4 linked regions of the Elephas maximus indicus genome follow. The protein of the gene in region 3 purifies or fractionates together with the protein of the main gene of each other region. This does not show direct contact. Links are inferred from orthologs where the notes say so. Each region holds a gene or a part of one and is shown on either strand. Other genes may lie near its edges. The genes, in order: MGA, TFDP1, YAF2 and MAX.

Region 1 (7,451 bases), on a different chromosome or scaffold from region 3:
ATGAATTCCAAGATCGGCAGGCAAGAAGGCAGATAAGCTGCTACCTAAAGTCCCATAAACCTTCAGACGAACACGAGCCGGCTGCAGGATCCAGAACAGGCAAAAGGTCACGAACCTTGCTAGAATGTCCACTTCTATTCGATGTAGGCCACATGCCCATGGAAGCTCCCTTTCGACTGACCGGCTACTCACAACAGATCCCATCGTGGAGGTGATCGTATTACATTAAATCTCACCATGGAAGTGATTATATCATGTAACTGCCAAACCACTGAGAATCATGGCCCAACTAAGTTGACACACAACCTTAACCATCAAAGCAATTGAATGTGTTTTGTGTCCTCAGGGTTCTCAAACAATTATACTATCAAGTTAACATGATTGTATCTTCAGTATGAGGATTAATTTATCTAAGGTGTTGGAATAACAAGCTCTGGTGGCACAATGTTTAAACACTTTGCTGCTAACCAAAATATTGTCAATTCAAATCCACCAGTGGCTCTGCAGGAGAAAAGACCTGGGATCTGCTTCCTTAAGGATTGTTGTTATTAGGTGCCGTCCAGTTGGTTCCAACTCATAGCTACCCTATGTACAACAGAATGAAACACTGCCTGCTCCTTCACCATCCACACAATTGTTGTTATGCTTCAGCCCATTGTAGCAGCCACTGTGTTAATCCATCTTGTTGATGGTCTTCCTCCTTTTTGCTGACCCTTTATTTTACCAAGCATGATGTACTTCTCCAGGGACTGGTTCCTCCTGATAACATGTCCAAAGTATGTGAGACAAAGTCTTGCCATCCTTGCTTTTTTTTTTTTTACTTTCATTGTGCTTTCAGTGAAAGTTTACAAGTCAATCTCTCATACAAAAATTTATACACACCTCGCTATGTACTCCTAGCTGCTCTTCCCCTAATGAGACAGCACACGCTTCCTCTCCACCTGGTATTCCAGTGTCCATTCAGCCAGCTTCTGTCCCCCTCTGCCTTCGCATCTCCCCTCCAGACAGGAGCTGCCCACTTAGTCTCATGTGTCTACTTGAGCCAAGCAGCTTACTCCTCACCAGTATCATTTTCTATCTTATAGTCCAGTCCAATCCCTGTCTGAAGAGTTTGTTTTGGGAATGGTAACAGTCTTGGGCTAACAGAACGTCTGAGGACCATGACTTCCGGGGTCCTTTTAGTGTCAGTTTTAGACCATTAAATCTGCTCTTTTTACGAGAATTTGAGGTCTGTATCCGATTGCTCTCCTGCTCCATCTGGGATTCTCTGTTGTGTTTCCTGTCAGGGCAGTCATCAGTTGTAGCCAGACACCATCTAGTTCTTCTGGTCTCAGGCTGATGTAATCTCTGATTTGTGTGGCCCCTTCTGTCTCTTGGGCCCATAATTACCTTGTCTTTGGTGTTCTTCATTCTCCTTTGTTCCACGTTTGAGTTGAGACCAATTGATACACCTTAGATTTGCCACCCTTGCTTTTAATGAGCATTCTTGCTGTACTTCTTCCAAGACAGATTTATTCTTTCTTCTGGTAGTCCATAGTATATTCAATATTATTCACCAAAACCATAATTCAAAGGCCTCAATTCTTCCTCAGTCTTCTTTATTCATTGTCCAGCTTTCACATGCATATGAGGCAACTGAAAACACCATGGCTTGGGTCAGGTGCATCTTAGTCCTTAAAATGACATCTTTGCTTTTTAATACTTTAAAGAGGTCTTTTGCAGAGGATTTGCCCAACGCAGTGTGTCCTTTGATTTCCTGACTGCTGCTTCCATGGGCATTGATTGTGGATCCAAGTAAATATTACAGCCTGGGAAACCATATGGGGCAGTTCTACTCTGTCACATATGGTTGCAATGAGTTGGAATCGACTTGACTGCACACAACAAGGTGTTGGAACAGTAGCAAACATGCCTGTTTTTTTTAAAGAAGCCCAAATCTGTTTTTAAATAGCTAAATCCTTCCATTTGTTAGAATGGTAATATCGTCGATTGTAATATTTACTCATATTGCCTCTCCAACTGGTATACGTTATACACATTTTTGTGAAAATAAAGAGGTACGTGCTGGAACAAAAGTTCTATCTGGTACATAGAAGTAGAGATACAAAATTATTCCATTTATCTACAAACTTTAACTTATCCAAATCAAACATTTGGTTAGGAACTGAGTCGGGAGGAAAGAACCCAAGTTTCTTCATAGATTAATATTCTTCTCATGGGGTACTAGTGCTAGAGGCAAAGGTTAGGCAAAGGACAGGAGGGTACCATTTTCTGTGTTTAAAATAAAAGAACTCCAAATCCACGGGTGTTATAAACTATGTATACGACATTTTCAAAGAAACACTGCCTTGTGTACTTACTGGGCTTTTGGGTCTTCTAGAGTCCCATAAAATTAACAAGACAGCGAACGTGGTTAATATGAATTAGGCCCTAGCATCCCTCCAGGATGTACTACCATCAGTGGAATTTTAGAACCTTAAGCCCAAGGTGCTGTTCCTCCTTGAGATGCCCTGCCCAAACTAAAACCTCCCTTTATTAGAAGTGAAGGCTGAAGCTAGGAGAGGAAGGGGAGGAAGGGGACTGGGAAGAAAGCATCTGAAACATTCTGATGTGTAAGTGAAGGGAAGAGTGAGTTTCGAGGGCCTGTTTGCTCTGAGGTAGTTAAATATAAACCATTTTTTAACATTCATGAAGTGGAGGCACACATGCCTCCTCCTCCCTTCATCTCCTCCACCCTCTAAGCATTATTGTTTTACTGCAATGTCTTTGGTTCGGCATTTTGATATGTTTAGGGAAACCAAAAAACAACAACTTGAAATGAAGGACGAAGATAGTGTAATATGTCCCAACAGATGGGCAATAGTCACCATGGAGTCTATAAAAGATCTGCAGTGGAAGGATCTGTCAGTGGGCCTCTAGCACTGTCTAGGGGAGAAACAGAATAGTGGAGAAAAAAAGGATTCAAGAGTGTGCATATCGGACAGAGTACAGGATGCTGGTTCAAATACAACCTTTGCCACTAACTCCTAACCATATTTATGGAGTATCTCCTATTCATAAGGAACCGTTCCAGGTCTTTTAAATATTTTTATCTCAGAATCATCATGACAGTCTGAAGACTAGGTATGATTGGCTCCAATTTTCAGCTAAAGTAACCAAGGACCAAAAAGTTAAAAAAAAAAACAAAAAACGTGTCCGATGTTATAGTACAGTGACAGAACTGCAAGTTGACACGAGGTGCGTCTGACTTCAAGGCCAAGACTCTTTTCACGATAGCCAATAGATCCCTAACCTAGTTGTGTGGAAGAGTTGCCTGGAGAACATGTTGAAATACATTTTCCAGGTGCCCAGTCAAGACTAACACAGAAAATGGTAATACTAGTATAGTTCTTTTCTCAGAGTTGTCACAGTTAAATGTAATAAAGTATATAGAAGTATTTTGTAAACTTTAAGCTTAACATAGATATACTTGTAATTAGTGATTTTTTTTACACTCGATCATCTTCCTTTCTTTTGATTTTCTAGTTAAGAACCAATTTTCTGATAATTAGACTTACCGAGTACCTTTAAACTAGAAAACGGTGCCCCGTTGGTGACACTATATATTTTGGCTTGGTTATAAATTAATACATTTAATTTCTAGTCTATAAATGAGAGCTCTTCGGAGTCTGACCTAGTGCTAGCCGAATCTCCCAAATTGGATCATTCCTTTGTGAACTGATAAAATAGTTTGGAATTAGCAAAACTGAGGAACGGAGTTCAAAGAAGAGGGTATGAACTGGTAAGTGGGGGCTTCATGGGAAACAGAACATTAGGTTTTTAGTTTGTTAATACAAGTTACAAAATTAACTTCGTTTGACGTAAGCCCATCTTTTCTCAGCAGTAGCAGCTGATGTTTTTCTCGGTTCCAACATATACCTGGTACTAGGTAGAACCAGAAACTGTAACCTGGCCCCTTTAAATTGCCCCCGTCTCCTTCCCCTCCCCCCTTTCCCCAACTGTAACAATACGTTTACCTAGAAAGGTCTGGTCTGCTATCTCGAGAGATATTCTAGGCATTATTTTCACTCCCAATGGGACTTGTAATAAGTTGTATTTAAATTAGCATTCCTTTCCACTGACAATGAAGAACTGATATCTTAGTTGTAGGCAAATACTCTTGCCGGTTTTTTTGCCATATTCACAGGGGCACTCAACATGCACTTACTAAATGCTTGCCCCTTGAACCGAGGTTTGGCGATTTCCCCAAGACCACGCAGACTGAACAAGTGGGAGAGGGAGGCTGAAAGTGCCTGTTATATCCAGTCACACCCATAATTATCCAAGCCGCCTCGTTCGGAGCCCAAAGACCAGGCTTTCAAAGGGACATGAAAGGAACGACGACGGGGTGAGGGCCAAGAAATCGGGAGAGGTGCCTTTCCCAGCATGCTCTGCAGCGCTCTGAGGGGCGCCAGACGTTTCCCGGCGTGCTTCGGGGTGCGCCCAAGGGCGATGGTTCCCGGCTCCTGGACGGGTACGCGAAGTTGGACCGGTAGGTGTGAGCTTCCTTAGTTTTGAGACCCTGTTTTTTCGTTTCCCCTTTATGGATGTAACTCCAGAAAGGAGTACAGGTGGTCCTGTAACTACCCTACTTTCCCGCGTGCAAACGACTTTCGGAGCCGCTTCGAGCACGGTGCCAGGTGATCAGCGGTTAGGGGCGGGCCTGAGGTTTGCACGTGACCAAACCTGGCCGCCAATGACTAGCCCGGCGGTCCGGCCGCGCGAGGGTTCCCGGACCCGTGAGCGGAGCGGCGCGTGGGACGGCTACGGTCCGCCCCGGCAGGTATGCGCAGGCGCCTTGGTTGCCACGCGCTCCGTCTTTTCCCACGCGCCGGGGCTGTGTCCTTGGCGCGAGGTGTTAAGAGTCTGTGTGGGTGTTTTTGTGGGTAGGGGGAGGGAGGGGGACATAGCGTCACGTGGACACCACAAGCCAATCTCAGACCGAGGCGCGTCCACGGTTTCCCCAGCGCCCCGGGGTGCGACGTGTTCAGGGAGGTTCGGCTCAGCCGTGACGACCCGAGTGCGGTTTTCGAAGCGCGTGTGCGGCCTGTACAATCTGGCCGCGGGTTTTCGCGGGGTCCTGCTCCGGTGTGAGCACTGACGACACGTTCCCGGCAAAATGGCTGCTGGAAAGAGTCGCCTAGCAGGGGGAGCGGTGGGGCCGCGTGAAGGTCACATGACGGGGTTGGCAGCGCGTGCTGCTGGCGCGGGGAAGGGGGAGGGTGGGAGGGAAAAGGCCCGGAGAGTCACGTGCTTTCTGCGTCTCCTGTGGTTTTCAAACGGCTTTGCTGTGGCCTGAGGGTCCGTTCCGACTCCTCCCTCTCGAGGCATGGCAAGCCTCCGGGGAGAAGCTGTCCGGTGTTTCGGAATGAGCTGTGGCCTGGGCCTTAGGAGACCTGGGTTCAAGGTGTTTGGGGAGTATTGCGATTAGCAAGTCCTGTTGCCACTCTCGATCTCCATTTTCACTTTTATATTTTACCTCTGTGGAGGAGATTATTTTAAGGCCCTTTCACATCATAATGTGGTGGGTGTATGATTTATACACAATTTCAATTTTATACATGTAACAAAAAATCAAGTTATTAATTATTATGAGACAAGACTGCACCCTTCTCACCCCAAAGAGAAAAACCCACAAGCATCCACTGGCGTCGCTGCCGCCCCCCGCCCCCCCATTGTTTACATTGATGTGGGTCACATGGTGGATGTAATTTGTTATAATAACCTGGCTATGCCTGTTCACCTTTATCAGTAACATTTATAATCTGGGCCTGTTCACTACTTCATTTGAAAAAATCCTGCCTTTTAGACGTACAGTCCCTATGTTTCCTGGAAAGAAATTAAAGAGTAAATGTTATTAGCATAACTGTGGAGATGAGAAAACAGCTGATTAGTAGGGACTTGCTTATTCCCCATAAGGGCTGACTGGAAGGGCCTAAAGTCTTCTACACTTGGTCGGCCAATCTTTGTGAAGTTTTTGAGGCTTCACGTACCAGCCTGTGGTGTTTCTCCTGGTTCTCTCCTCCCAGCTCCAGCTCTTCATTTTATCAGTATTCAAGCCCTGGTGAAATGTAGCAGGCATAAATTAGGTATTTTCCGTGTCAGTGCTTATGTTTTATGGTACCTTTTAATTCACCTTCTAATTTTGTGGGAGCAGAATCTGGGAAACATATATTGAGCAATGACCATAATAGCTATTAACAATTCTAGTAAGAGTTAACACTTTCCAGCGTAGTGTTCTAAGTATTTTACATTTGTTAATTCATTTAGTTCTCATAACAAACCTATGAGGTAAGTACTATTATCTCCGTTTTAATGAAGGAAATAGCCACACAGAGATTAAGTAATATGTAGAAGACCACGTGGCTGGTGATTTTACATAATTCCAACTAGATTTCCTTTTGAAAATTCAACAAAATGATTCTAAAGTTCACTTGGAAGAATCAGCCTGTAAAGTAGGAAAAACTTAAAAGTGGTAGGCGGTTTGTACTAGTGAATATGCAAATAAAGATACGATAATCAAAACTGTAAGTAATCCTGCTATAGACAGAGCAGTGGAACAGAATGATAAATCTACAAATACATAGATAGCTGTTAGTATTGGGTTTTGTTAGTATCATTGAGCCTTGGTGGCACAGTGGTTAAGGGCTCAGCTGCTAACCAAAAGGTTGGCGGTTGGAATCTACCAGCTGCTCCTTGGAAAGCCTTGTGGGGCCCTTCTTCTCTGTCCTATAGGGTCACTATGAGTCGGAATCCATTCAATGGCAACGGGTTTGGCTTTGGTTATTGGTATTACAGAAACCCTGGTTAAGTGCTCCGAAAGGTCACAGGTTTGAACCAGCAAGTCACTGTGTGGGAGAAAGATGTGGCAGTCTGCTTCTCTAAGGATGACAGCCTTGGAAACCCTATGAGGCAGTTCTACTCTGTCCTGTAGAGTCGCTATGAGTCAATTGACTCAATGACGATGGATTTGGTTTTGTTAGTATTATAAAGGTGACATTTCAAATCGGTGAGGAAAGGATTCCAAAATTATGTTGGAACAATTGGCCAACCATTTGGTAAAAATAAAATGAGACTCCTTCTTGAAAATTTAAACAAAATTAAATGCTTTAGGTGGGTTAAATACTTAAATATAAAATATGAAATTATAAAGTTACTACTTTAAAAAGTGGATGAAGTTTTCCACTCTTAAAATAGGATGAGCAGTTCTAAGAGATATGACTGCAAATAAAGGCACAGGTAAAAGAAAAATCGATAGTGTAACATAATACAGCTTCTAGTTGGCAGAAACACTGTAAAGCTAAAAAACTTACTCATTCAGTATTATGTAACATATTAGTTGAGTGCCTACTAAGTGCCAGACAGTATTTCATGTGTAGGGGATCTAATGATGAGCAAAACCAGGCAAATTG
Region 2 (7,077 bases), on a different chromosome or scaffold from region 3:
GAATCTGTAAGATAAGTGGACAGGTAGTAGACAAATGGTCAAAGTTATTAAATTGCACATAAAGTCAAATTTCTTAAAATTATGCTGAAAGCTCCTGGTGCTGGGTTCACTGTTGGCTGATGATGGTAAATGAGTTCTATCGAGGAAGGAAATGATGTAAAGAGAACATGGATCTTTAAACCTTAAACTGTAGAACTCCATAGAAGAAACTAATCTTGATATCATCCTAGTCAGAGCAATGTCAAGTTACGAAGAAGGAATGCTTTAGAAGAGCTGTGGAATTAAATGCCAAAGGAATTAAAGGACTTTCATGTATTGCAAAAGCCAGAGGAAAGTTCAGATGCAAAGCGAATGGAAAGCGTCTAGGTTGTAGATAAAACTGGTAAGATAAATTTGGATAAATCAAATTTGTATATGTTAGATGCTATGATCCTGGAGAATTTGTCCGTGACAATTTTCCAAGGACTGTGGCTTCAGGCTGTCAATCGCTGTAAAAGTCTTTAAGACACAAGAATTATTAAGAGCATAATCACGTGATAGGGTCAAGGACTGATAGACTAAAACTTTCAAGAAGGAGTTCTTTGGATTTTACTGGGAATTTTAAAAAGGGGAAATGAGGTAGCAAAGATTGCGAGAAAAATAAAAATGTCTTCATATGTTAGGTGACGGGGTGGTGCTTAGAAGTGATGATCTGGTTGGGGAGAAGGGCTAGGGGATTTACCTTGAAGTTCAGCAAACACACTGATTCATCATATTTTATGAGGCATCTAAACAACCACAGATGCTTTTATTTATATTTTACCAAAGAATGAGAAAATGTCACCTGTCCTTCCTCATAAGCTCCATGAACTCCTGCCCCCTTCCCTGTCTTCCCTCAGTATCACTATTGCTCTGGTGATCCAAGAAGGATGAAAAACTGAGGAAACGGCTGAAGAAAAGACCAACATGATTTAATATGGAAACCAAAGATAAATTTTGTATTTAGCAAGCAAATTTAGAATTAAAACATTTCAAAGGATTGGAACATGTTCTTTCTCTTTAAAGGGCAGTTTAATGGTGTGGGAAGGAGAGAAGGATTTGCATCAGGTCCTAAGATTCAACAGGGTAGAGATCTCTCAGACACGAAAGTGTGAGATTTTGGGAGATGAGGATTTTACCTGGAAAGAACCAAATGACTTTCTTTTAACAAAACACAGAACAGAACTGTTTCCATGTAGTATTCTGGTTCATAATGACAAATCTTATACATACAAAACAATATCTGGCCCCAGTAATATAGGGCTGAACACCAACTACTGTGTTATGCATCAAGTCAATACTGAATGAAGGCATCATAGAAAGAATTAAGTTTACTAAACAATGTGAAGTAGTAGATAAATACAGGGCATTACAGGCTTATTAGAGTAGATAAACCCAGGGTTTTATGGGCTTATTGCACCTGGGTGGTGCACCTGGTTAACATGCTCTGCTGCTAACTGAAAGGTTGGAAGTTCGAGTCCACCCAGAGATGCCTCGAAAGAAAGGCCTGGCGATCTACTTCTGAAAAATCAGCCATTTGAAAACCCTACGGAGCACAGTTCTGCTCTAGCACACACAGGGTTGACATGAGTTGGAGTTGACTCAACTGCAACTTTTTTTTTTTTTTTGGTGGTGGGGGAGCTTTAATAAAAAGATTGCATTTCAGCAATTTGATCCAAAGTTTTCAAGCCAAGGCAGTGGCTAAAAAAATTTGGATTTTCAATGCAAAATTTTAGAGTTCTGTTACCATTTGTTAACACAGAAATAGGAGCTTTCTGTGGGGTAAAGAACTTTTTGCCCTTTCCCCAAACAAACCAGAGCCCCAATGAGCTTTCAGCAAGTAGGTACCCCCTGCAAGTTCAGAATATTTCCCTACAGTGATTTTTGTGCAGAAATCAATTCGAGTAATATTAGAGGTGGGATCCCTGGGTGGTACAAAAGGTTAACTGTGCTCGACTTCTAACAGAAAGGTTGAAAGTTCTAGTTCACCCAGAGGCATCTTGGAAGAAAGGCTTGACAGTCAGTTCCAAAAAATAACCCAGTGAAAATCCTATGGGAGCCCTGGTGGCACAGTGGTTAAGAGCCCGGCTGCTAACCAAGAGGTTAGCAGTTGGAATCCAGCAACTGCTCTTTGGAAACCCTATGGGGCAGTTCTACTCTGTCCTATAGGGTCTCTATGGGTCAGAATTGACTCAGTGGCAGCGGATTTGGGTTTTTTTTTCGGTTTTGAAAACCCTGTGGAGCATAGTTCTACTCTGACACACATGGGGTCGTCACGTGCTGGAATTGACTCCATGGCAACTACCACCACCATCCTCTGTAAACATTGTTGAATTACCTGAATCACGAATTTGTAGGGAAGGGGTTTCAGATCCCATACTATGAGTTTCATTTTTTCCTTCTTAATTCCAACTCCCTAGGTCTCCCGGGGAGGTTTCCTGGTGCGGTGGCTACAGCTACACTTGGGTCCAAGAGGTTGGGAAAGGGGACTTACCACTGCTAACTAAGCTGGAATATTCAAATTTAGTAAAAAATATTTTTTTTGTGAAAGTCAAGAAATGGAGCTAGGAAAATATGACTATTTGTAGGATATAATGGAGGAATATCGGTTCTGAAATCATGGGAACCTGGTAATGGGTGAAGAGTTGTATGAATCTTAACAGCAAAGAATAAGGTCTTTCTCCAGATAGTAATTTGTAGGACTTTCCCTCTTAGTAAGGGCCCCAGGTGGTGCAGTAGCTAAAAGGGCTCAGCTGCTACTGAAAGGTGGGCAGTTAAAATCCACCAGCTCCACTCCACCGGAGGGGGATGTGGCAGTCCGCTTCTGGGAAGATTTACAGCCTTCAAAACTCTATCGGGCAGTTCTAATCTGTCCAGTATGGTGAGTCAGAATGGACTCAACGGCAATGGGTTTTTGGTTTTCCCTCTTAGAGTCTTTTATTCAACTTCTCCTTCAATGTTTCTTTAAATACTCATTGTGTGCTCATCTGTAAGCAGAATATGAAGATTCCGTTATTAGCTTGTCTTCAAAGAAGAAAAAAAAAAACAAAACACCCTTGTCGTCGAGTCGATTTCGACTCATAGCGACCCTATAGGACAGAGTAGAACTGCCCCTTTACAAGGGAGCAACTGGTGGATTCAAACTACTGACCTTTTTTCCAAGCCTTGGGTCTTAACCACTGCACCACCAGGAGAATCCAATGTTAATTAAATTGCTAACAGTTTAAGTGAAAAGAGATTTAAGGGGTCAGTGCATTACTAGAAAAGCAGAAGTGGATGTAATCAGCATAAAAGTGGCTAAATTGTGAAACCATGCTAAGTGCGGGTGTAATGTAATAGTAGTAATGTAATAATAATATGTTGCACATACAGAGGGCCTTTGGTCTGTGCACCTCAAAGTACTTTGCAAACGTTAATTATGCATCGCACTAGGAGGCAGAGAGGGAGGGCCTGGTAGGGCTTGGGCATTGCTGCCTAATCCAGCACTGAACTTTGGACTCCAGACTCTAGATGCGCCCGCCAGTCAACCCTCTGATGCGTTTCTACAGCCGTCTGTGGTTGAATCCACCCACTGCTTTAGCAGTGGTGGGATCGAGGTTGTGATTAAATCTCCAGGAATAAGGGTCCAGCACGCCAAACTAGTGATGAGGCCGCTCCTGCAGTCAGATCAAACTGGGCTGCCCAGTTTTCCCTCCTGAACTCACTTCCGGGATACCTCCCCAGCTGGCACCGAGGATGCACGGAATTGCTTGGAATTTGGGTGAAGGTTGGGCGTGGGCGTGGAGAGGCGCGGTGGCTGAGCCGGGTGTCTGCCGGCTCCTCGCTGGGCCAGACGTGCCGTCCTCAGCCGGGAGCGCACGCCGGGGTAGGCAGCAGCTTCCGCGCCGCGCGCCCGCCTGCCCGCCAGCGGCCACACACGCTCGCCGCGGGCCTCCCTCTCTCCCTCCCTCCTCCGCACACACACACTGAGCCCCTCTCCCGGCGCCAGGCGGGGGCGGAGCAGAACTGGCGGGAGGAGGCAAGGAGGGAGGGAGGGAGCCAAAGGCGCGAAAACGGCGCGCAGGCGCGCCGCGCTCCCCGAGGCGGAGCGCGCGGGGGTGAAACTGACACTTTGGGCCAGTCTCTATGGGGCCGCTCGTGGCCGCACGTCACCGCGCTGCCGGCACGTCACGCCGGCTCGACGCTCCCGGTACAAAGTGTAAGTTTCAATTTTTTTCCCGGTGCCGCCGCTCCGGGGGCCACGGAGGAGCGGGAGCGGAGTGGGGACGCAGGGCTGTCTGGCCAGCGCGGCCGGGCCTTCCCATCCCCGCCATCCTCGCGTGAGTGCGGGGCTGGGGCGGCGGGGCCCTGAGCCTCGGCGCCCAGCATCTCCGCCCCCAGCCCCGCGCGCGGGCGCGGACCGGGCGAGCCAGGTGCGGGGCGCCGGCCACCCTGGCGCTGCAGGCGGCGGGCGGGTGCGCGCGGGCCGAGGGCGGCCGGGGCTGCGGGAGGGGGAGAGGATGCCCTGGGGCGGGAACCCCGGGAGGATGGAGATGGGGGAGGGCGCGGAGCCACCGGCGCCGCGGGAGGATGGAGCTGGGGGATGGGGCCCAGGGCAGGGCGAGCAGCTGGTCCTGGAGGGAGGGGGCACCGGGCGGTGCGCGGGCCCCTGGCCCGAGAGGCGGCTCTGGGGCGGGCCGGGGTCGGGGCCGGCCACGGGGCGCGGGGGGCGGGCCAACGGCGGCGAGGGGGCAGCCCGGGGCGGACTGGTCCCCGGCGGTCCGGCCCCTCGGCCCTGCCCCCGCCTCGCCTGCGTGTGGGCGCCGCGCGCACTGCTCGGTGTCTCCTTGGGGCTCTTTCCTGGTGTGCTCTGTGTGCGCTGCACATGTGCAGTCGGTAAACCTTCCCCCACCCCGCACCCCCCACGCCGCCGCCGCGCCTCATTGTAGCCGCTGCAGTTGGTGGGCTGCGGGGCTGGCCGCCGCCGTTCGGTGGGTGGGGGGGGTGGGCGGCCGGGGGAGGAAGGCGCTCTCCAGGTGACTTGACCTCGGCTGTAGGATGTGGGATGGGGGGTTGGCGCGGGTGGGGAGCAGGACGCGATTGGGCGGGAGTGGGCCCGACCGAGGAGGGCGGGCAGTGGGGCTCTTGCGGGACTCTGCTAGCTGTCTGGGCGGGCGAGGTGGGGGCTCGGGACGGGTGCAGGGGGGTCCCCGGGTGGGGGCAGGCGGGGCGGCAGGGCCGGAGCTAGGCCCTCCAGGCCCCGGATAAGCATCGTCGCGCGCCCCTCGGCCACCCGGGGGCGCGGGGCAACGGGGAGGGGGTCGGTGGGCGCCTGTTGCCGGGCGGTGCACCCGGCGGTGGCGGGCGGCAGGGCTGCACAGCTGCCGCCGGCTCCGTCCCGGGCCCGAGCGCGCCGCCCGCGCTCCCGGCCCCGGCGGCCGGATCCGCTCCGGCCTGCAGCGAGCGCCTTCGGGAGGGAACGGGGAGGGGCTGACCCTTCCACCGACCTGGTCCTTTAGGGAGCTCCGAGCCGAGGACTGCCGGTTCCGGTGGCGGGCGGGGGAAGGGAGATTCCTCTCGGTGGAGGTGGCTCCTGAGGCCTAGTGACAGGTCAGAGAAAGCCCGGACCCGGACGGGCTGGGGGCGTGGGGGTTGGGATGGGGGACTGAGAGCAGTTCCCTGGACCCTGGGACTGCTTGGGGTGACTCTGGAAGCCCACCTGTCAGAGTTACCAGTCTACCCTCTGGCTTGGGTCAGCGAGCTGGAAACTGACCAGGGTGGGGGAAGTCCCTCTAAGAGTTCTTTTGGGATGGCTTTCCCTGCGCGCCGGTATGTCTGTGCTAGGACAGAAGGGAGAGTTATACTCCTGTTAGATGGATGTGTGGGGTCGTGCATGTATGTGTGTGCCTGGGTGGGTCACTGTGGGGGTGGTATATTGATCCCGTAGAGATGTGAATGAGCCGAATGGGACCATTCGTGTAGTTATGCCATGGATTATGCTTTAGAAACAGAAAGGTAGCACAGGCAGATATGTAAAGGGGATTATCTTTGGGTGATTTGGGGAGAAAGTTGGGGTGTTGTAGCAATGATTTTAGGTCATGGAGTTCCTATGTCTTGGTTGTTTATGGGCTTGTTTGCCAATTTAAAATATATTTTCACCTGCTGCAATGAATTTTAAAATCCTAAGTATAGGAGTTGTTTTTGCCAGTTCCACTTTTGAGTAAGTGTGTACATTTGGGAAGGAAGGTTCTTGTTACCTGGAAGGCCAGTTGGGGTGGTGGTGGGGGGGGGTGGGGAACGTTTCTCTTAAGATGTGACATATTATTAACTTTCTTTATTCTTACTCATTTTTTCTTTTCCCTTCTTTTCAGAAAAATCATTGTTTCTTCTCTGGAGGGTGAACGTTTATAAAATTGACTTCACGGATCTGGTAACATGGCAAAAGATGTAAGTGTATTAGCTTCGTGTTACAAACCTTTCCTTAGCTTTTAATAGCGAGAAATTACGAAGCACTGAATTCTTTGCAGTTTTCTCACTTTATTTCGGAATGACAACACATAAACCATAGTACTGTTTATTTTTTTAAGCTTCTAAAGCACATGAAACAGGATGAAAGTGAAAAAAGATCAAAGAATCTAATAGCCTCCATGGAGATGTGTGACTTGCTCTTTCTACGTTGTGTTTTTTGTAACCTTGGATGCCTGTTGATAAATGCTTATGGTGTTTAAATGGTACCAATTTTACTTAATCTTTTCGGGCCTTTAAAATTTATGATTTTGAATAGCTTTGTTAAAAGCCATTCCATAATTAAAAGAGATTGTGAATGCACCATTCAGAGCGTGTGGTGGGGCTCAGCAGTTGCTGGATCTGGACCCGTTTTCTGATGCCCAGCAGAGAAGGGCCCCATCTACTGAGGACCACCTTCCACACAGGAGGTCTGGAGATTACTTGCTTTCTTAGTTATCTAGTGCTGCTATAATAGAAATAACCACAAGTGTGTGGCTTTAACAAACAGAAACTTATTTTTCTCACGGCTTAGGAGGCTAGAAGTCCGAATTCAGAGTACTGGCTCTAGGGAAA
Region 3 (6,897 bases):
TGCAACTTTTGCTTCTTAGTAGTGTTCTACAGTCTTTTCATTCTGTTTTTCTAATATTACCAAAGAGCAAACTATTTTGTGATGCCATCAATATCTGCCCTATTAACAATGCCCTGTTCTATTGTTCTTTCCAAACATGGATTCCACTCTGAATTTCAGAAACAGTGATAGGAAAACAACAGATTAACAGAGAAATTAGAGCTCTTACGTTTAATTTATGGCCAAAATCAAAAGAGAAGAGACAATTCAGAGAGAGGAAGGAAGAAGCTGAGAGGGTCTTAGTGTAGAACACTTACTTTTAGGAACAGAGTGTCCCTTAGACTTCTGGTGAGTTGCCCAGAGCCTCTTCAGTTTCAATCCAAATGACAATGCTTCTCTGAGTCCTCCTCAAGTAATGATTCCACCACTAAAAATTGGATCTACAAGAGCTCAGAAGTACTGGTAAAAAATGTCAGGGGCCCCCACATGGGCCTCAAGCCTCTTTTAAACTAGGCCCACTTCTCTGTCCTGGGCCAACTCCCCTGTGCACTATATTCCTTCTTCTTCCAGGTGCCAGGTATGCGGCCTGTTTCTTCTCTTCTGAGCTGTCACCACCTACTCTATTTCTCAGGGTTCCTCTAACCCCAAGACTGGCTGTGGAGTAGGACACCAGCTTCCCCCCTTCCTTGCTGTCCCTGCAAATAAACATATAGGCTCTTCTAATTTCAGTATTTTTCTATTGGCTACAAGAAAATAGAGGGAACAACAAAAAGCAACAACATAGTACCAGAGATTAAGATTATAATAATTGTCTCCACTTTAAAGCGCCTGTCTCCAAAAAAACAAATTTTCTAGAACTTGTTTATTGAGCATTTTAAAAAGTATAAAGTACTAATATAAAATATACAAATATAGCCTAAACCAAATCCAAGGCAATAAAGATATCAAGATAAAAGGATATTCTGCTTTTCAAAATACTTAAATCACGGGTCCAAAAACAGTTTACGATCAGATTCATTTACACATACAGGTACTTTTTTCTTTTTATAATGTTCTGCTGTTTTATTCCCTTGAATATAGTAGATGTTCAAAAACTTGTTTTTTAAAGAATATGAAAATGTTCAATACATTTTATCTAATACGAGTGGGAATTAATATACAAAAAACATCTTATGATTTACCAAAAGACTTCAAAAGCATCTGGTTTCACTAAGGAAATGTTAAAATTTTAAATTAGTGTCAACCACTTCTACCTCTATATTAACATTTTTTTAATGAAATCCCATAAATGGGGTTTAAAAATCAGGATATCTCATTTTCAGAAATCTAATACCAACTGAATATTTAAATCTAACATTACCGATATTTAGGCTCTTTTTTTTTTTTTAACAAGAGACCACATTGTAAGATATTAATAATGTTCTTATACTTTTAATAATTTCATTTCTAACAGACTTTGTAAGACCATATTACATAAACTATATAAATATTAAGCTATAAATCAGAGGATTCTAACAACTTAATTCAAAGGCTACCCTCCTATAAAAAGGCAAAGCAACTCCCTAAGTGCTGGGAGATCAAAAACGTCATTGACTTCGAATTTCCTGGATGATTTTCGTTAGCCACTTAATTGACTTAAGTGGTTTTTTAAGAGACAGAACTATTATACTTTAAGCGTACAATAACATAAAGTTAAAACTGAAAATAGGCAGGGATCATTTTATCTCATTTGTATAGTCTAACAGATTGCCACTTAATCAAGCTAAAGCTATTCAAATACTTTCAGTAAAAAAATGTGTCCTATTGAGTGGGCTTACCTCCAACTATTTATTTATAAAATATTGGAGAATTTCCATAAGAATACTAAACAAGACCCTTCCATATTTCAAAATGAAGTTTAAGCTACCGTGTATTCTACAGATACTTTTTTCTTTTTTGAGGAATGCAATTAGATTACATCCTTTGCTTCCAAAGTGGATTTCATGGGCTTTCCTTGATCCCCACACACTAATACAAAAATGCAGCCAAGATTATTATATCCGGGGCGGGGGGGGGGGGGGGCTCCATTACACTCAGCAATACGAATTAAATCGCAGTAGCTAATGCCTCTCTTAAATAATTTATCCTCTCCTGGCAGCAAAAAACGCTACAGCCTCTTCAATTACCCCTCACCACAAACCATCGCCTAGGTCGCGATCAATCTGACCCAGCTGCTATCGCGGCCACCACCTCAGTCTCACCTCTCCTACCGTTTGGGTCTGCAAGTGTCACGGGAAGGGGCGGCCGCCGCAGGGGCGTCCTCTGCGCCGCCACCCGGGCACCCGGCGGCGCGCGGGGCAGGCCCGGGACTCACCGTGTGGAGGTGCCCTTCCGCACATCGCACATCATGCACTTGAAGGCCTCGGCGCTGTTCCGGAAGGTGCAGACGCTACAGTCCCAGTAACCCTCATCCGAGGACGGCTTCGGCTGCCGCTTCGGCCTGCAGGACACAACCCAGACACGACGCGGCGCAGGGTCACCAGCAGGCCGCGCCCGGGCCCCGCGGCCATCCCCGCCCCGCCCCAATTCCGCGACCCCCGCCTCACCGGCCCCCGGCGCGCTGCGCTCTGGCTCGGAGGGGGAGGGGAGTCAGGGAGGAGAAGGGCGCGAGAGCCGCCGCAGTAGCCGCCGCCGACGCTCTACCACTGGGGGCTGCCCCTGTGGCCACCGCCGCCATCGCGCCTCCATTGTGGGGTGGCCGGCGCTGGCCCCTCACACGGCAGCGCTCGCGCAGCAGCGGCGCCGCCCCCGTTCTCGCCCCGGTGCCCGGGCGGCGAGTGAGGCGGCCGCCCGAAACCCAGCGCGAGGGCCCCGCCGCTCGCACAGTCGGGACCCCGGTGCCGGGCGCTCTTACCTGGTGGGGCTCTTCTTGTCTCCCATGGCTTGGCTACAAACGCACGCCAAGAGTCGCCGCCGCGGCTGCTCTGTTTGTCAATAAGAAGGATAATAAGCCCGGCGGAAGCAGGCGGGGGAGGGAGGAGGGAGGGGGCGGGGAAGGCCGCACCGCGGAGCTCGGAGCAGCCGCCGGATCCCACGCAGCCTCCAGCTGTCGGGGAAACTCCTGCCTGGGCGCACGTGACCCGCGCCTGCCAACCAGCGGCCGCGCCGGAGACTTCAAACACGGCTAGCGCGGCCCAGCACCCGCGGCCAGTTCGCTGGCAGCCGCTGCAGCCTCGGGCGCCGCCGCAGCCGCCGCAGCTCCGCGCTCTTTCCCGCGCTTCCATTCTGCGTCCCCGAGTGTCGCACGCTTCGGAGCTCCTGCTAGGAAGCGTGTGGCCTGCAGGAGGACTGGGGATGCTCCGTCATCCCACGCGAAGCCTGGTTCGAAGTGAGGCCAGCGTTCGGAGGTAACCCATCGCGGGACAGAAGGGACCTGCGGGAGTCTGCAGGTAGAACCGCTTTCCTGGCCTCAGCCGTCCATGTCTACTCAACACCCGCCCGAAGGATACCTGGGGGGAGGCGGGAACCGACATTGAGCGCCATTGCTAGGTGTCAAACACTGTCTGCCTAAATCCACACAAATGCTCTACTGTATAGGCGTTGTCACCCTCAATTTAGAGAAAATGAAACTGAGGCTCAAGAGAGATTAGGTGACTTCCTGTAGGTTACATATTAGAAAGTGCAAATCTAGGAGCCTGAAAAAAAGAGCCTGAGCCTGGTTTAAATCCAAACTAGCCCTCTTGGCTTTCCAGGACTCTGCAGTAGCAGCTTTTAAAAGAAAATGAATACTCATAAACCTTTGTTTTTTTTAATAACAAGTTTGCAAACCCGTTTTTTTTTTTTTTTTTGACAAAGGAACACTTTTCCCTTGGTCTCAACGTAATGGAGGCCCTCATCACCTTGTTCTACACTCTGGTACAGCCATGTAACTGCTTTCTGAAGCTCCAATCCCACCGCACCAGTATATATCCTAAACCACAGCCAGATTAATAATAAACATTGTTAACATTATGCCACCACTCTGCTCATAAGCTAATGGCGACCAGACTCCTTAGGCTGGCATTCAAAGACTTAACACAAGTTTTCCCTAACTCTCATTCTACTCCCCAACAGAAACGCAGCCTCCTGAGGAGGATTAAAGAGGAAACCGCTTGCCGAAACCCTTCGTGCACTGCATGAAATATTTCCCCCTTCTTTCTGACCAGACTCATAGCTCATAACGACCCTATAGGACAGAATAGAACTGCCCCATAGAGTTTCCAAGGACCGCCTGGCGGATTCAAACTGCCGACCATTTGGTTAGCAGCCGTAGCACTTAACCACCATGCCACCGGGGTTTCCTATGAGTCAGAATCAACTGGACGGTGCTGGGTTTCTTTTTTCGGTTTGGTCTGACTAGAGATCAATTATCCAATAATCAAGGTAAGCGCAGTGCTTACCTTGCTTACCAGATCATATGTAGTGAACAATTCACGTGTTTTCACCACATGAAAGACTCTGCTTCTGGTATGGCTGGCATCTTTCTCTCAACCCCACAGCACCTTCCTACAGGATCAAAGACTGTCTTCAATTTTGCAATCCCTGACAAGAGCAGATAATCCAGTAAGCAAAAGTAAGTATGGGCTTACTTTTGCTTACTTACTAATCTGTAGTGAACAATTCAAATACACGGTGACACCCACGTGAAATTGTTCACTATAGATTAGTAAGTAAAAGTAAGCTTGCTTAGTGGGTTATCTGCCCTTGTCTCTGACTACTATTTCTGCCCATCTTTGTAGGTTCGCGTCAGATCTGAGTTCCTAAAGAATTCTTTCTGTTTTATAGCTGAAAGGGTCTTAATGTGCTACAAAGGAAATAGTACAGTTAGAAGTCCCAGTTCCCAGCCTGTTTCCCCTAATCTTTAACTGATGGATCTTGAAAAATTTCTGTAATTTTCAATTTTTTTGTCTGCAAAATGGCATCTATATATATATATATAAGGTTGCTGCGTGACTAGTAATAATACAACATTTTTTAGCACTATATGCCAGGCATTTTGTAAATCTCTGTATACAAATGGGTATTTTATAAGGCTCAAAAGTACTATGCAAATGTTAGTTCTTCTCTAGTCTTAATCTCTTCATTTAAAAGACAAGGAAGTTAGGGCCTAGGTTAAATGGCTTCTGTTTAATGAATAGGCCAGGATTAGAGCTCAGATGTCTATTAGTCCTCTACCAAGCCATGTGTTCTGCTTAACCAAATCACCCCAATTTGCAGCAGCCTCTGAACTCAGCACTATCCGTACTTTTTGCAAGTGTCACTTTTTTTGACTCAAATCCTGATTCAGAAACCATGGGGATTTTGACTGAGGAAAGCATACAAGAGAAGGAGATCTAAAGCCTAGTCTCAGTCTCTCAGTAATGCCATGGGTAAACTTAATTAAGCCACTTGGGTTTTTTTCATCAGTAAAATAAAGAGTTAAAACTATTGTCACAACTAAGGTCCCTTCCAACTCTAAGGCATTGTGATGTTTTTTATATTCCTCAACTGGATGCATCATCAAAGAGAATGACAAGAACTGGTCTGTTTGCAAAAGTGATGGCAACACTGTATTTTTCAATCAAAAGAAAATCAAATCAAGAACTCTAAAAAAAGTTGTCAGTGGTGTAAATCACCATTTCACTAGAAAATAAATTCCACCACTAGAAAGTAAGCTTCACTTCCAAAGCACAAGTGCAAGAAGGGCAGGAATTTGTATTCGTGGTATTCATCGCTGCACCTCCAGTCACTAGAACAGTCTGACACATAATGGACACTTAATAAATATTTTGAGAAGGAATAAATTCATCCATGCCACAGTTCATGGATGAGGTGTTTTTTCACACTGAGATTGACAGCCCATTACGCATATTGGCATGCAGTAGATGGTCTATAAATGCTGAAGTTTACAGCCCTGCACACTGAACTTTACAACTCTGCAAAGTAATCCTTGTAGAGGAATCAGAGATTGAACCCAGTTTCTATGAAGCACATGCCCTTGCACTATACCAGTTGCTGACCATTTATTGGGTGCTTTTTTTTTTCTCTTAGAAAGATCCTGCCTTTACTAAACTTACGTGAAGAAGCACCTCCTCCTTCTTTACCACAAGAGTCCAATCTTTTTTCCTGAAGTGTTTTTCTTACGGTTTGAAAAGAGTGACTGCAGAAGAGGAAGATCCTTGTCACTAGAGTGATCCAGGTTCTTAACCATTTAGGTGCCTTTTCAATACATTTGCAGAGTTCAGTCCGCAAACGTAATTCATTGGGGTCACTTGTAAAATGACACAAACTGGCAATTGTTTTAACAATTTAAAAGTGGTAAAGTATTATAATAATTTACCATTAAAAAATTAAGTTAACTCCAAGGTAACTGATATATTCATTTCCATTTTAATATGCTTCCTAGAGTGGGAAAGACTGGAGAAATTACTGAAACTGTACGTGAGATCATGCGTGCAGCTGAACAGTAATCTGTTTGCTGTTGAGATATAAAAAAGACTGAGTGCCCCTGTCTTACATACATTGAGAGACTAACTGCGTGGTCCCGTGGGCCCCAGCCTGTTCTAATTAGACCCAAGTTTATGCCCATGAAACAAACACAACAACAATAAACACCATGCATTAAAGTTTTATACACCTATTAGACAACAAGGGCTAATACTTGATATGGTGAGCACTGTCTCATTTATCAACTGGAATTTGAAAGGAAATTAGTGTGACTAAGAGAGGAATAAGATACAATTCTTCCCTGAGAGAAGAACTCAAAATGAAATATAACAACAATAAACTACAATTGTAAAACCAATCACATTTTAAAAGGTTAATTTGGTTTTTGTCTGTTTCTTTGGTGTTTTGGTTTATTTTGTTTTTGCAAAATGAAGATACCTTTACTGATTTTGCTCGGTATAAAAGTTATATGTC
Region 4 (7,110 bases), on a different chromosome or scaffold from region 3:
TTTGAATTTTGTTCTACATTTTTCTCCCACTCTATCCAGGATGTAGAGTTTTCAACGGCTGATTTTTTGAAAATAGATCACTAGGCCTTTCTTTCAAGGCACCTCTGGGTGTACTTGAACATTCAACCTTTCAGTTAGCAGCCAAATGCATTAACCATTTATATCACTCAGGGACTCCTTAAAGTAGCAAGGGGCTAGAGAAATTGGGCTGCTCAGTGACAAGGCCCAGTCTTGATAAGTTCACATAGGGCTTTACCAAAGAAATGCAAGTGTACAAAGATGAAAATGAATTAAAGTCCTAAATTACTATTCACATCAGGAAAGCACTAAAAAAGAAAACTAGAGGAAATTTCTGTTCTAATATGCTTAGTTCTCTTTCCTGCCTATGTGCCTTGGCCATGAAAGTCCTTTTATTTAGGTCATTTAAAAGTATTTCTTAATTTCCAAACTTAGGAAGGTTTTCTAGTTATCCTTGTATTATTTCTAGTTTAATTACATTAGGTCTGAGAACATCCTCTCTAAGATCACAGTCCTTTGAAATTTGTTTATGGCTTAGAACATGCTCAATTTTTGTAAATGTTCCACGACTGCTTGAAAAGAATGTATTCTACAATGATGGGTGCAGTCTTTTATGTCTATTAGGTCAAATTTATTAACCAGGTTGACAGGTCTCCATATTCTATCAAGTACTAAAAACAGATGTGTTAAAATCTCCAGTCTTTCTACCCGGAAGGCCTTTCCTCCTTACCTCTGCTTACTTGCTCAGGTCTCCATTCCACAATCAGAGAATCAATGATGAGCACAGTCTGCTCTGGTCCCTGCAGACTGGTCCTCGTCCTCGAGAGCCTAAGAAGACTTCCCTGATCATCAACACCTCCCTAACACCATTTCAGACCTAGGAAAATTTCTCCCTCCTCTCCTTTCTTACAGCATTCACTGCCTTTTCTACTAATTCAACATTTACATAATCTGTCTTCATTATAATTGTTTGTGTTCATAATTTGCCAGGTTTTAAATTCAGGGAGGGTAAAGGCTACCTTATTTCTTTTATAACAGCTTTTGTTGTTGTTTGGTGCCGTCAAGTTGGTTCCAACTCATAGCAACCCTATGTACAACAAAATGAAACACTGTCCGGTTCTGTGCCATCCTCATGACTGCTGTTATGCTTGAGCTCATTGTTGCAGCCACTGTGTCACTCCATTTCATTGAAGAGTCTTCCTCTTTTTTGCTAACCCTCTACTTTACCAAGCATGATGTCCTCCTGCAGGGACTAGTCCCTCCTGATAACCTGTCCAAAGTACGTGAGATGTAGTCTCACCATCCTTGCTTCTAAGGAGCATTCTGGCTGTACTTCCTCTAAAACAGATTTATTCCTTCTTTTGGCAGTCCAGGGAACCCTGATGACATAGTGGTTAAGTGCTACTGCTGCTAACTAAAGGTCCGACAGTTTGAATCCAGCAGACGTTCCTTGGAAACTCTATGGGGCAGTTCTTCTCTGTCCTATAGGGTCGCTATGAGTCGGAATTGACTCGACAGCCACAAGTTTGGTTTTGTGTTTTTTTTTTTTGGTTGGGCAGTCTATGGAATATTCAACATTCTTTGCCAATGCCATAACTCAAAGGCATCAATTCTTCTCCAGACTTCCTTATTCCTTATTCCAGCTTTTGCGTGCATATGAGGCAATTGAAAATACCATGACTTGGGTCAGGTGCACCTTAGTCCTTAAAGTGACATCTTTGCTTTTCAACACTTTAAATAGGTCTTCTGCAACAGATTTGCTCGTTGCAATGCATCGTTTTATTTCTTGACTGCTACTTCCATGGGCGTTGATTGTGGATCCAAGTAAAATGAAATTCTTGACAACTTCAATCTTTTCTCCATTTATTATGATGTTGCTTATTGGTCCAGTTGTGAGGATTTTTGTCTTCTTTATGTTGAGGTACATACTGAAGACTGTGGCCTTTGATCTTCATCAGTAGGTACTTCAAGTCTTCTTCACTTTCAGCAAACAAGGTTTGTGTCATCTGCATAATGCAGGTTGTTAGTGAGTCTTCCTCTGATCCTCATGACCCGTTCTTCCTCATATAGTCCCACTTCTTGGATAATTTGCTCAGCATACAGATTGAATAGGTATGGTGAAAGGATACAACCCTAACGCACACCTTTCCTGACTTTAAACCACACATTATCCCCTTGTTCTGTTCTAACAACCACCTCTTGACAGCTTTATTGAGATATCATTTACGCACCATAAAACTCACCCTTTTAAGGTACATAATTCAGTGGAAAGCTGTCTCATTTATCTTGGCATGCACTATACAAATGATTCTCAATCTTGGATGCATATTGGAATCACCTAAAGAGTTTAAACAATACTGTTGCCTGGCTCTAACCCCAAAAGATCTGAACTTAATTGTTTGGGGGTGTGGTCTGGGCATTGAGGTTTTTCAAACCTCCCAAAGTGATTTTAACTTATGGCCAGGGTTGAGAACTACTGCCCTATAGCATTTTGTGCATAGCAGGCACCCAATGATAATTTGTTAAAATCATCAATTAGCCCTAGCTTCCAATATCAAGTTAATTAACTCACCGAAGAGCTACCATCCAGATCTAATACCCCATCAACTCATCACATAATGGTTTGCTACATGTGTCCGTCCCACTTAGGTCGTTTGAAAGGGAGACTCACAAACTCATTTAGAAAAGAGGTTTCCTTGTGAAGACATGCAGACTTCAGTTGAACAGGATCACTGAATAAGACACAAAACAGGTATTAAAGGAAAAAATGTAAAGGAAAGATTTACCGCGTTTACATTTGTCTCTTGCAGCATAAATGACATGCTCACATGGGGAGATACTGTCACAAAGATGGTGACATATCCCCAGATTTCTGCATTCAAAAGTCAGAGATAAAATGGTTTTCATTAGGGCATCAGTAATTTATGGAGAAACCTCAAGATTTCATTCGAGACCACATGTAAAAGTACTTCTGCCACTTTGTTTATCTCAGGGTGTCTTTGTTATTGTTTTGCTTTTTTCTTCTTGTGGGACTTGTATACTCTTCGAATGACAGCAGAGCAGTCTCATTTTTGCTTCCACAGCTGTGAGCGGCTCCAAGACAGGGACCGTTCAGGTCTTGTACATTAGCGCATTCTCGTGCTGGCACATGTTAGGTGTTCAATAAATATTGGTAGAATGAATGTGATCACATCTCTTCTCACAATATTTACATATGATTTAAACTGTGTAGGGGGCTGCAACCAGTTTCCCGTTTTGATCCTTTTTGCGATTCTTAATTATGACACTCTGAACTGGGGCACTCCGTAAACTGCCTGGGCTACAACAAACTCCAAAGGGGCTTTTACTTCCACGAAATCGGTTGTTGAAGGTAAGAAAGGGATCTGTGAAAGCAAAGCCGCACACTGAGTAGCAAGGTTGGTCACTCCGGGATGAATGAATACAAGATTCTCGCGCCTGGGAGCAGTCCCATAGAAAGGCGATTCTTGTAACACCACTTAACACCTGCCATTGACACCTTCTTCTCAGAACCTAATCCCGCAGGTCTGCATGGGCTTTCCGAGCCGCGCCCCCTAATTCGCAGCCACAGGACTCCCTCGCGGGCAAGTTACGCCCCAGGTCGCAAAGCGGGACAATTCGGGAATCAAGAAGACAAAGTAAAACTAGGTGCAAGAAGGAGAAGCAGCTTATTTAGGCAGCCAGCTACTCCCTCAGAACCTCCACCCTGTCCCCTGGGCCCGGCGCTCATACGGTGCCGGACTCCAAAAGCCCAAGCTCTCTCCACGTGTCCTCTCTTCCCAGAAGCCTCCTCTGCTGCCTCGGGAGGAAAACCTCCTGACAACTCGCGGTCTGTGGACTACGACTCCCAGAAGGCACCGCGCCGCTTCTCTCTCCGCCCCCCCCCCCACGGGACACGCAGGCGCTTTGGGCTTCGTCAACAAGCCGGGCTGGCGTCTCCTGGATGAAGTTCCTGATGGGATTTGTAGTTTTTCTGGCGCCAGCTGGGCGGTCGGTCAAAGGAATGGGAACTACAAGTCTCGGCGGCCTAAGCGTGACGAGTCGTCACGTGGCAGGGGGCCGACCGGGCGTGCGTGCCGCCGTTGATCCGGTGCTGCAGTGAGGAGGTGGTTCTCGCCCGTGTTGTGTGTGTGAGAGAGCGAGTGAGTGAGTGAGTGAGTGAGTGAGTGAGTGTGTGTGTGTGTGTGTGGGGGGGGACTCGGCTTGTTGTTGTCGGTGACTTCCCCCTCCCCTTCACCCCTCCCCCTTCCCCGCCGCCGCTGCAGTGGCCGCTCCCTGGGCCGTAGGAAATGAGCGATAACGATGACATCGAGGTGGAGAGCGACGTGAGTCCCGGGGCTTCTTCTTCCCGTGCGGGTTGTCAGGCGGGGACAGCGGCTGGGACTCTCAGCGGGGCGCCGGCGGGAGGGGGCCGGGCTGCCGCCGCCTCATTTCCCTTCTCTCCGGGACTTGGACCGCTTTAGTCGCCCTCCCGGCTCGCTTCCTTCCCAGCTCCTAAGCGGAGGGGCCTCCAGGGACTGGAAGTGGGGAGGAGACACGCGGCCTATGGGACCCCCACCTCCCCTGAGGAGGAGGGTGCTGCGGCCGCCCGCTCCTACCCTATTCCGCTCAGGATCCAGGGGACAGGGGTGGGGTGCGCTCGGGATCCCATTGTCCGGATCCTGGGAAAGGGGACGGTGCTCAGAACCTGTTCTCTCGGTCTGCGATCACTTTTTCCTGTGACCTGCGGATCCTGGGGGTGAGGGAGGGCAGAGAGGGATTGAGAGTGTCCAGAAGCCCCGAGCTGGGTGCAAGGGGGAAGAGACAGTGCTCGGGACCCCCTCCTACCCCGGTCGGATCCGGAAGGAGAGGCGGCGCTCAGGACCCCCCTGCCCCGCTGCCGGATCCCGCTGAGGGGTTGGAGCGTGGGGTGGGAAGGGAGGGAGGGGGTCGGACTGACTCCCTACCCGCCGCTTCCTCCGCCGCCGGCATTTTCTAATTATTGAATATGAAGTGTAAAAATAACTTTTATATTTTCTATTTTTTTTTTTCTCTTATTTCAGGAAGAGCAACCGAGGTTTCAATCTGCGGTACGTCTCCTACTCTCCATTTCATTTTCATTTCCGTTCAGTTCTAGTACATTTGGGGGTCAGAGAAAAAAAGAGATCGTTCTATTTTAACATTGTAGTAAATCTGTTAACCGCTAAGGTGAGGTGGGGCCTTGTTCTGGGATTCCAGGTATTGGGGGAAGGTTGCAATTCTCATAATTCCAGACTCTCGGGTGATAGGTTCCAGTGACTGTGAATGGGATGAGCTGTATGTGAAGAAAGGAATCGTTCCAGTAGTTTTCAGATGGGGAATCTAGCCACCACACTCTAAAGCAGGAAATGAGAAATACAGCGTTCTGAAGTAGACTGTAGCATAATTTCAGGGCAGTGTCCTCAGAAGATGTAGAACAAGGAGGTTCCAAACAATATCTGCATATTAGTCGTGAGTGAAGCTGAAGCACATGCAATCACCTTTAACCAAAAGTCATGTGACTGCTGTAGACCTAGAATCTGGCATGTGATACTGTAGTGCAGAAATTGGAAATGTAGAGGAGCCAGAGGTTGAATATGAAAGTGTCACATGCAGCTTATTGTGGTCTGACTTTTTATATTTGAGTTGAAGGAGAAGTATAAAAAATAGGAAAATTGTTGGAAGATGTGGCATTGGCAGACAGGTTTGCTAAGAGATGAGGACTCCATACACTGTATGGACTCCATACAGTGTTATCAGTAATTTATCAGGGTTATTAGTATTTTTAGTAGATGATTCTGTGGATTTAGGTGTACACTAATCTCATGTCTTTGGAGACAGAGCCAGTACTGTGAGTGTTCTGTGAATAATAGATTAGAGGGGAAGAAGGAATAGACAAAAAACAAATCAGAGAAGTGAAGGGAGAAGTATATCAGAGTATCTAATATATGACAGTGGGAAAGAAGGGTATAGAATAGGGATCAACAATTCAAATGTCTGTGGGGGCCAGGCAGCGAGATAGTTAGGAATACAGCAGTGGGAAGAAGTGAGGACTGGGGTACTGGGGAGCACACACCTCTTCTAAAAAGGCAGCCACTACTCAACTCCAGTGAGTTGTTACTATGTAGGGGTGAGGGTTCAGTGCTGACAGGTTCCCTATTTTTTTTAAGAAAGATTTGGAACCCGGATTTTTATGTTATTCTGATTTTTAAAAGAATGTGTGGAATATTCAAGCTGTTTAGTGGCTGGTTAGAGTGTGCATGATGCCACTTTGATACTTCTGGTATACGAATTTAATTACCACAGGATAAAAGCAGGCACTCTTGTACCTGCTCTTTATTAGAGCGAGCAAAGATTGTGCAAGTGGCCCAAGCAGATGCACAGTAAGAAAAGTGTTGCTTTTAAGAACTGATACTTCCATTAAACTGCAGGATACAGTTGTCCCAGGAGTCCTAAAAATTGTCCTGGAAAATAGTCGCTAAGAAGATTTTTTTTTTTTTGCCTTAGGTCTTTGAAGTATTACCACATACCTGTATTTGTACATATATTTGAAAATTGAATTCCTTATTTGGTTATTATTATCTCTAATAATTTAGAGTCTGTTTACATTAACTGATGTATCATGTTCACGGCCCAGTCTATTTGAAACATTTTTTCCTCCAAGTTTCCATTTTTAAGATCTGCCCCAGGGCCTGGTCAGGACTGGCGGGTAGGGATTGACTAGAGCTCTCATAGGCTTCCTTTGCAGACTTACCCATTCAATTGGAATTATTTTGACTCTCCATTGAGAGAAAAGCTTTCTTTGTGAGGTTTTGGCTCACGGTTCTTGAAAGTGTTCTGCTTTTCAAAATATTGAAAAGTTGATGTAAATTGGTTTATTAGATTATTAAAATGCCTCTACTCTCTTAGAATGCCAATCTCATTGTTTTCCCTAGATGTTTTTAGTTTGGTGTTAAGGTGCCTAGGATTTTTCCCTTAGATTTTGGGGGTTAGGGAAGGCGTGTGGGTTTGACCCTTTGTTTTTATTTTGACATATATACTTGTTAAGACTTTTAAGATAATCACAACAGCGTGGAG

The links.
Region 1: the proteins of YAF2 (region 3) and MGA purify together in Homo sapiens (affinity purification with mass spectrometry; 5 studies listed by BioGRID and IntAct, counting the BioPlex papers as one, with this or other methods). This does not show direct contact. The link is inferred for Elephas maximus indicus from reciprocal best matches to the Homo sapiens genes YAF2 and MGA.
Region 2: the proteins of YAF2 (region 3) and TFDP1 purify together in Homo sapiens (affinity purification with mass spectrometry; 3 studies listed by BioGRID and IntAct, counting the BioPlex papers as one, with this or other methods). This does not show direct contact. The link is inferred for Elephas maximus indicus from reciprocal best matches to the Homo sapiens genes YAF2 and TFDP1.
Region 4: the proteins of YAF2 (region 3) and MAX purify together in Homo sapiens (affinity purification with mass spectrometry; 3 studies listed by BioGRID and IntAct, with this or other methods). This does not show direct contact. The link is inferred for Elephas maximus indicus from reciprocal best matches to the Homo sapiens genes YAF2 and MAX.

The regions. Positions count from the first base shown.
Region 1 is NC_064828.1:14,456,159-14,463,609, reverse strand, and holds the start of MGA (MAX gene-associated protein), read left to right. Parts: upstream 1-4,437; 5' UTR 4,438-4,531; intron 4,532-4,578; exon of another isoform or gene 4,579-4,822; intron 4,823-7,451. UniProt on the Homo sapiens protein: Functions as a dual-specificity transcription factor, regulating the expression of both MAX-network and T-box family target genes. Functions as a repressor or an activator.
Region 2 is NC_064835.1:74,596,673-74,603,749, forward strand, and holds the start of TFDP1 (transcription factor Dp-1), read left to right. Parts: upstream 1-4,076; 5' UTR 4,077-4,216; intron 4,217-6,368; 5' UTR 6,369-6,432; coding exon 6,433-6,444; intron 6,445-7,077. UniProt on the Homo sapiens protein: Can stimulate E2F-dependent transcription.
Region 3 is NC_064822.1:96,843,947-96,850,843, forward strand, and holds the start of YAF2 (YY1-associated factor 2), read right to left. Parts: upstream 3,023-6,897; 5' UTR 2,899-3,022; coding exon 2,873-2,898; intron 2,459-2,872; coding exon 2,333-2,458; intron 675-2,332; coding exon of another isoform or gene 473-674; exon of another isoform or gene 1-472. UniProt on the Homo sapiens protein: Binds to MYC and inhibits MYC-mediated transactivation. Also binds to MYCN and enhances MYCN-dependent transcriptional activation. Increases calpain 2-mediated proteolysis of YY1 in vitro.
Region 4 is NC_064828.1:77,419,772-77,426,881, reverse strand, and holds the start of MAX (protein max), read left to right. Parts: upstream 1-4,096; 5' UTR 4,097-4,325; coding exon 4,326-4,361; intron 4,362-5,078; coding exon 5,079-5,105; intron 5,106-7,110. UniProt on the Homo sapiens protein: Transcription regulator. Forms a sequence-specific DNA-binding protein complex with MYC or MAD which recognizes the core sequence 5'-CAC[GA]TG-3'. The MYC:MAX complex is a transcriptional activator, whereas the MAD:MAX complex is a repressor.